Saccharomyces cerevisiae S288C: one gene and its partner. Changing the gene in region 2 together with the main gene of any one other region gives a genetic interaction. Each region holds a gene or a part of one and is shown on either strand. Other genes may lie near its edges. The genes, in order: PUG1 and FRE4.

Region 1 (3,566 bases), on a different chromosome or scaffold from region 2:
GTCTGGAAATCATTATTAGGGCCGTCATTACGACTTAAGAGCACTTTGAAATCAGTACCCTCTGTTCAACGTGAACAAAAATTTTCGCCACACGACACTTTTCTGGATGGGCGTGATTGTATTAGCTGCCATGGTTCAGTAGTCTTCAATTCAGTGACATACTTTATTGTCATGAGACCACTCAACAGCAACAATATAAGAGCAGAGAGACATTCCAAGGGACAAGAAGATATAAGTTTTGACGTTCAGGAATCTTTTATCCAGTCTGTCTTTATTTGAATGTTTTATTAGACTTCAGAAGTATCCCGATATGTACAAGAATCTTTCTCAACGAGCTACTTTTCTCTTAATCTTGATTGTGTTTGTGATGCCACTTAACAATGCGGAATCTAACGAGTGTTTACAAATATTTTGTTCTCGGCGAAAAATTCAATACATTGCCTTCCTTTTCGGTGCATGATTGTACGGCTGAGAATGGAGAAATAGTACCGCCTAGATCTTTCGTTTTAATGGCTTCAAAGCAGAAGAGGAAAGATTTTTATTCTAAATGAAGTTAAAATTGATTGGCTGCACTACATAGAAATCAAAATTTGATATATATTATCTAATTACTTAACGTTTGACACTCCTTTATAACATCGAATACGTTGCCGAAAAAGGATCCCACACTAAATGCTATTATTACCAATAACATAGGTACAGCATCGAAGACATATATGAAATACTCATGAGAGATTATATAGCCATTGAATCCCTGAATAAATTCAACTATTCGGACAATTGAACGTAGTAGGATCAACATACTGCTTAATAATAGGGTAGCATTCACAAAGATCCACTTTCTGGAAATATCTTCGTAAAATAAGCATCTCCTTTTAACATTTACTGTGAATCTTATCTCATTGATAATGAAAAATCCAAAAAAAATTACCTGTACAAAAAGACCCGCAGTTATGAGTCCTGAACCAGTCTTCGTTGATCCTGCCTTAGACATTAGTCCGCCACCTGCAGCTTGTAAAAAGAAACTAAACACATCTCCCACAACAAAGAAAGTCGTACCAAAGCGTGCAGAAATCAAAATTAAAGATTGGCACCTCATAACATGTAATAACCTTCCAAAAATCATATAAATCGTCGCAGCTATTAGTGCTGGAGCGACTAATAAAAGAACAGATTGGATAATATATGGGGTCGTTCTTTCAGGATTGGAACTGGATAGAGCCCTCCCGATATACCCGACAGCTTCCATGATGCAGCCAGTGAAGAAAGGTATAAACGCAAAAACTGTGGGTGTGATTTTTAGTTGCTTGTATTCAGCATCCTCAAGACTATCGACCTTATCATCAGATGACTCAAATGGATTATTTTTCAATGCCTTAGAAGATTTTCTCGCAGCATATAAAGTTTGAACGGCAAAAATGACTGTCATTATAATGAAGAGTACGACAAATACGATTGCAGCCGCTTTACTTGGCGTATAGTGGTAAAGTACGAACCCCGAATCAGTTGTGGACATTTTGGAACGTTGATGGACAATAAAAGATTAAGTAGCTATGTAATTGGACACTATTAACCTACTATCCTGGACATTTTGAGGCAAGAGACTATACATCCCACAATTGATTCGGTAGGTGCTTTTATACTGATTCATTTGAGGTCTTGGCATTTGTTCAATTGAAGTACATTTAGTTGAAAAGTTGAGATTTATTTAGGATGAGCTTGCCGCGGCATGGGGAAAGAAACACTTCATCCTGTATGGAGAAAAACCACTTTGCCGCGGCACATCAAAACAGGGCTGAAACCTTCAGTATGCGCGATACCATTACACGACAATCGCATGGCTTAGTCATAATAGATCGAGGCGCTCATATACATGGCAGCCACAATATTTGAAGGTCGACAAATAAGGACAATATCAACGGTTAGGATACCGAAACTTGAATATGGCTGGTTTCTCAGGAACAGCCGATACTGTCCTGATCTTAACTTAAGGTGCGGTGAAGTAACCTGGATTCAACGCTGCATGAAAGACCTGATTAGGCTTATTTGATAATCCAACAAAAAAAGTGATTGGTTGGTTTGCTAGTATTCAAAAATAACTATTTTGGAGTACTTTGTTTGTTTGAAAGGCTGGGTAATAATTTTTTTGATGTGTGCTTTGAACAGTAAAAACTTTCTTCCTTTCTATAAGCTAGAAGCAAATCCAAATCTCATCGAATAAGCGCATTAGGTTAACGACATTATTGTTGTTTAAATTTTAAGCTTTTTAGCTTTTTATATTTTATTGAGATGGCAGCAAAAAGAGGATTAGCCAAACAAAAATCTAGGGTAACCAAGGCCTGTGATAGATGCCATAGGAAAAAGATTAAGTGCAACAGTAAGAAGCCATGTTTTGGGTGTATTGGGTCTCAATCAAAATGTACGTATAGAAATCAATTTCGTGAACCGATTGAGGCTTTTTTCAATTATACTGGTAGTCTCAGTAATGATTTGGATAATGCTAAGTGCAGCATAGCAAAATTGAAGGCACAGTTACCTCCAAGCGCACCGGCCTCTTTACAGAAAGGCCTAGCAAACATTTGCACTGAGCTTGAAAAAATACAACCTCAGCTTTACCTCAATCTGGACAGTAAGGAAATTAGCTCGTATGGTGGCCTGAAATCGATAGAAACAGAAATTATCGGGAAACAGTCAAAATCTTTGAATAGGTTCTCCAACGCTTTTGAAAGCAATACTGCACAAAATGTCAGTATGTACTTTGGGGTCTATTCACCGTTGCTATATTTTGCCTCTACGGGTATTAGCTGGATAACTAAAAAATTGATTTCATGTTCGAATGATAGGGAGACGAGAGAAACTATCTATTTATTTTTGAAGTTTCTTGACGCTAGCTCTGCTAGCCATGCTGGTCCTAAAGTAACTTCGATATCTCCTTTAGAGTATTATTCAAAGCTAAACGGACTTTCATGTGGGAACGACGTACTTATTCAACACATTATGTCAAATATATCGAATGAAATCAAAGGAAATACAAACATTAACCAAACAATCAAATTCAATAAACCAACAGACTGGTTTATGTACGGAGTACAATTGATGGAACAGCACCACAAGGCGTTGGATCGTAAAAGTTCCAAAAAATTACTTCCTTTGAAATATTTTCTTGAGCAAGATGAGTTGATTTTTTGTCTCTGTCTTGAATATTTTGAAAGATCCCTATTTTCGACAATGTACGACTTGACTATTTTAAAGGGCTTAGTCTCGTTGATGAAACACAGATATTGGATAGACGATCCTTTTGTGCTGGGAAGAATTATTTCCACGATGTCCAGGCGAAGTTTGGATGCTGGTTTGAATCGTTGGGAATATTATATTGGTCAGGATGAGGACACTGCCGAAGAATATCGTAAGTTATGGTGGGACTGCTACTGGTGGGATAGATGGTATTCATTGGTCACCGGTAAGCAGCCATTGATACCACATGAAATGACTTCGTGTCTCTTTCCCAAGGATGTGGTTGGATTAGGGGTAGATGATTCGATGGACTGTTTTACTTTAATAAACTT
Region 2 (4,785 bases):
TGATTGATGGTTCAATTGAGCATTCTTCATGATGAACCAAATGTCTTGTAGTGCATGCTGTTTCTGACTTTGCTTAATGGATTTTTTTAGTTCGACGATGTTCCGTATATTTTAGAGGCACACACTTTCACTTTTCCTATGTTGAGTAATGAAGGCATTTGAAGTTACGGAACCTTATAGGTGTCAGCACGCTGTCATTCCAGATAATTTTGTGTCTCCCTTACCTCCACATATGAATTTGGAATACCAATAATTACCTCTTAAAAGGTTTCAGAAGACGTTTACTATTTAATTCTTAGCTACACATCATATAGTTATTAATTCAATATATTACTTTTGGTACTGCATTCTAAAACACTAAAGTATAACCTCCGAACATTATATAGGTGTTTATTGAGTTATTTTTTGAAGAAATAGTCCACTAGAAATTGCTTGGGATGCGGGATTCCTTTTTCTCTTGGTCCTTACATTATACACCAATTTTATCTTTATAAGAAAATACAGGTAGTTAAATTAAGTACATGAACGCTGAAGATCGATTGGTTCATATTCTATCGGCAATTGGTGTGTTATACAATTCAGAGTTACTAAATATGAAGCTTCTGTCATCTTACGTATGATTTTTCTGCTTTTTAATACGATTATTTTTCTGAAAAAGTGTTATTTGAAACAACTTAAGCCTCAGTAGTTAGAATCAATCAACAAGAGTCCCCTAAAAAAGGCGCAAACCATCTACGTTAATGAAATTACAACAGTTAGAGGATATTATACATTGAGTGTTTACTTAAATATGAAAAATTGTTCACCAGGCTTGGTATTCCTCCAAGTATTCAATCATTCTTGATGGGTTTCTGATAACAGCTTTGGCAGTTTGATTTCTAGCGGTGTCGACGAAAATAGGTGGTCCGCAACATACGACGGCAAGTGAACCAGAATGGTTAACAGATTCATTTAGTATTTCTTCAACATTTGGCCTTCCAACATGGAAAGTGGCAAATTCTAAATCGGAGATAGACGTGTCATTCAGGGAAAGAGGTAGTTCTGTATTTTCACTTTCAGAAGGAGCTTTTTCTGAATTGCTTAGACTAGATGGGGCCTTCTCTGCTGTCGTTTCACCGTTTTTGACTTCATTTGAGGAAATTTTTTCAGCCGAAGCTAGCTCTTGCTTAGAATTATAAATGTGAACTTGAACATTCAAGCCCTTTAATGCCATTAGTTCTTTCTTACACGCGTTGAGCATGTCTAGTCCTCTTACTGCTATGACTAACTGTACAAAGTTTTTACCGCTTGCAGCTGTTGTCTTTCCTAATTCAAGGGCATGAGAAATTGGACCGGGAAGCCCTGAGCCACCTGCCAACAATAATACATTATCAAAGCGATGGGCGGTGGACTTGGAGCCATAAGGGCCTTCGATAGCTAATCTCATGGATGCCTTGCCGCCTTTACGTTCAACAAAGTTTCTTACCAGTTTTGTCACACCTTTCTTTGCTTTCAGAACGATGACCAATTCTCTATCGTTTACGCAAGAATCCATCACTGTAAATGGATGCGACTGCCAGAAGCACAATGGACGCAAGAAGGAAACGAAAACGTATTGGCCTGGTTTTGCCTTCCAAAACTTCTTTGGTTTTTTAACCGTTACACGGACCAAATCAGATCCAACCAGTTGTAGATCTGCTTTAGGAAATCCTAAGAGTGCAATTCTGGTGATACGTACAATTCTATCAACTCCCCAAATTGCTATTGCCGCGTAAATCCATTCGATACCGCTGAAGTTAGTAACATGCTCCCAACAAGTATAGAGAAATAGTGCTGCGAATACTATATGGAGGGCCATAAACGTTTCATAGTAGTGTCTTCTAAATGCTGCGATGGAAAAGAAAATTAACATTCCCGCTAAACAGGTGGTAGCAATACCGAATTTCCAGTAGACTCTTAATCTAACCGTATTCCATTTTTTATAATACAAATAATAGTTCGTAAAGCCGGCAGCATGAATTATTGCATCAAGAAACATCATTCTTCCCAGCCACTTATGGAACACAATGAATGAGGTATGCTTCAAGCCAGAAATAAGTTGGAGAAAGTTATTTCTTCCCGCAAATAAAACAATGAGTGGCAGGTGTGCAAAAGAAAGTATACCGCTTCTGTACGCAACAAAATGTGCCACTTCTGCTCTATGAGCGGCAAATATGATGTGGTATGGATCATATTGATATTTGTAGGCCATGAAAATGGTATGAAGTATGAGGTAGCCTAAAATAACCAACGTTTCAAACCTAGTAGGAAGATAGCCTGTTATCACTTTTAAGTACGAGAAGGGCTCTGCATGCTTTTCATAAAGAGTGGGTAGAGTAGTATAACCTCTCACGTAATTGACTAGCTTTTGCTGAAACATAATCTTTTTTATTGGGGTATAATTCAAAAAACGAATTAAACCTGCAAGCAACATGACACCCACAAAGTATGCACAGATAATGCCCCCGAAATAATACGGAATGTCATGGTTATAGTAGTAACCATAGTATGCATCATAGTATGCTTTTCTTAGTGTAGTGTTCAGTCTGATAGGATAAGTGATATTGATGCCAGCTTTAGGTTGATCTTGTATATAGTATGTTCCATTATCCAATGAGGTGTAAAACTCGGCATCAGTCATGTTCAAAAACTTTGGTGTATAGCAAAATTGTCTCATTTCTTCAAAACCTTTCTCCAAAGTTTTATTTGAATACCCTTTCTCATGCGTGTCTTCGTAAAGACAGTAAAGCATCGATTGGATTGCTGGTTCATACCGACATATAGCGGACCCATTGAACCCCCATGTTTCTTTACGTAAACCAACGTAGCATGAATATATCGACCTTCTCTCATGAGTATTTATTAGAGACGTTTTACTGGGTGGGGCCTTTGCGGCCGAAAGCTGGAAGAACAGAAGGAAAGATATAATATGTACCAACAACATGGTTTTGCCTACCTAAGCTTATTTAGCCATCTCAGGTTCAAGAAATAGACGCTGGGGAGACACGATTAACTGGAGTCTTTCTCAGCTTCTCTAGTTGTTTTATATGAGAGTCAGCCAAGACTAAGAAAGAGGAGAAAAACTGGCTTTTAACGAATATTTTGTGTAACTGCAAGAACTACTAGGGTTTGATGTACCTTGCTCATTAAACTACGCTAGGAATTCCCTATGTAAACGCTGATGCGTTTGCCTTAACGAAAAAAATTTTCTCTAACGATACAGAAATTGTAACCTCATTTTTACCATAGTCACCGGCAGTGAAGGGATATATCGGGACCTCTACCAGTAGTCTTTGTTCTTTTGAGTATTGTTCCCTCAGGGTCCTATGAAACCAGGTGCAATTATGGTATTCGTTGAGTGTCTATGTTAAATAGGGTGCAAATTTTTAGACGGTCTTGCATAAAAAAACAAAAAACGTTCTTCTATCGGAAAAAGCCGTTCCTGCTTACAAAGCCAAGATCTTGTTTTGTACGCAGTTGCTCTGGGATTCAGATTACGTGTTTCTAAGAAGCAGGTCCCCCTCTTCTAAAATTATTCCATGGCATACCTTTATTATTCTTCTCTTCTCAGCCACGTTACTCTTAGTAGAAGTTTCTTGCTAGCGCCCGCTTTATCCCGAAAACGTCATTTCACACATTCTTGAGGGAAGGAAAAAGGAAAAAGGCTACTCAGGCATCTATGGCCGTCGCCAAAGTAACCTTACTTCCTAAGCTATTGAAGGGCTCGCTTGTAAGGAAAATTTCCCTGTGCTAATAGCGGAACTGGGTACTGAGCACTTTTTATGCACGTGCATCGTACAATTACTCGCTTGGAGCCAATGCACTAAACATTCTTATAATTCTAGGCGAAAATGTGTTGTAGTAGTTTTACGTGCGGGAAACTTACTTCATGCGATATACTTATTTGTTTAAAACAGATATGGTATTTTGTTAGTTTTTGATTCAGGCGCTACTGATGATTTGTGCAAGGGTCCAGAGAAAAATGCATGTGTCAGTGTTCTAAGCCAAGTATATATGATTACCGGTAAAATTCTACGCCAATATTCGTCTTTTACTGAAGAAAAGTATTGTTGGCATTCCTACTTTATTTTAAAGTTTTCTTGAGGCAAAATGAAGAAAGAGCTAAGGCTCTTTTTATGAGCGAATTTCACATAATGTTAACTAAATATAAATGCGGGAATAACATTGTGCCAAGAGGAACTTAAATAAGGATATCTCAAAAACAGCCTAGTTCCGTAGGAAAGATGCCGTTTGAAAACGATGTCAAGAAGGGTTTAACATGCTTTATAGAAAAATCTAAAAGTTTAAAAACTTATAGGAAATTCACCGTACTCATACTGAAACATACTCTATACAACCTTGTTCCATAATTCTACAACTTTCTCGTAATATTTCTTTTGAGAATCTGTAAACTCTATCAATTTTCCGTACTGTCCCTTCCTATAATGTGTGCAATAGCTGTACATAACGCATTCGCTCTGTTGCGACCAGGGGGACTTGCTGACATCGGGTATTATGACAGCTTCGAGTTTCACAGGTGATTGATAGTAATTCCGTAATTCATCAACGCTTTTGTATTTGGCCGCAATCTCTTTACGCTTTGTAAAATCATAATTCCAACAATTTTTTTTGCAAACGGATAATCCGCCATTCAACCACAAAAGATTACCGTACACGTCCGTGTGAGATAGCTGGGTAGAACAGATTGTACTGCTTTCTAGAGTCTCCGGCTTCTCTAATCTTCCTACATTCGAAGCCTCTATTGGA

The links.
Region 1: mutations in FRE4 (region 2) and PUG1 together harm fitness more than expected from each alone (negative genetic interaction), as found in Saccharomyces cerevisiae (one large-scale study listed by BioGRID).

Annotation. Positions count from the first base shown.
Region 1 is NC_001137.3:557,404-560,969, reverse strand, and holds PUG1 (Pug1p), read right to left. Parts: upstream 1,517-3,566; coding exon 605-1,516; downstream 1-604. Other genes in the region: TOG1 (Tog1p), read left to right, coding at 2,290-3,566. UniProt on the Saccharomyces cerevisiae protein: Involved in inducible protoporphyrin IX influx and heme efflux.
Region 2 is NC_001146.8:738,128-742,912, reverse strand, and holds FRE4 (ferric-chelate reductase), read right to left. Parts: upstream 2,963-4,785; coding exon 803-2,962; downstream 1-802. Other genes in the region: YNR061C (uncharacterized protein), read left to right, coding at 1-32; MNT4 (putative alpha-1,3-mannosyltransferase), read right to left, coding at 4,368-4,785. UniProt on the Saccharomyces cerevisiae protein: Siderophore-iron reductase responsible for reducing extracellular iron prior to import. Catalyzes the reductive uptake of Fe(3+) bound to dihydroxamate rhodotorulic acid.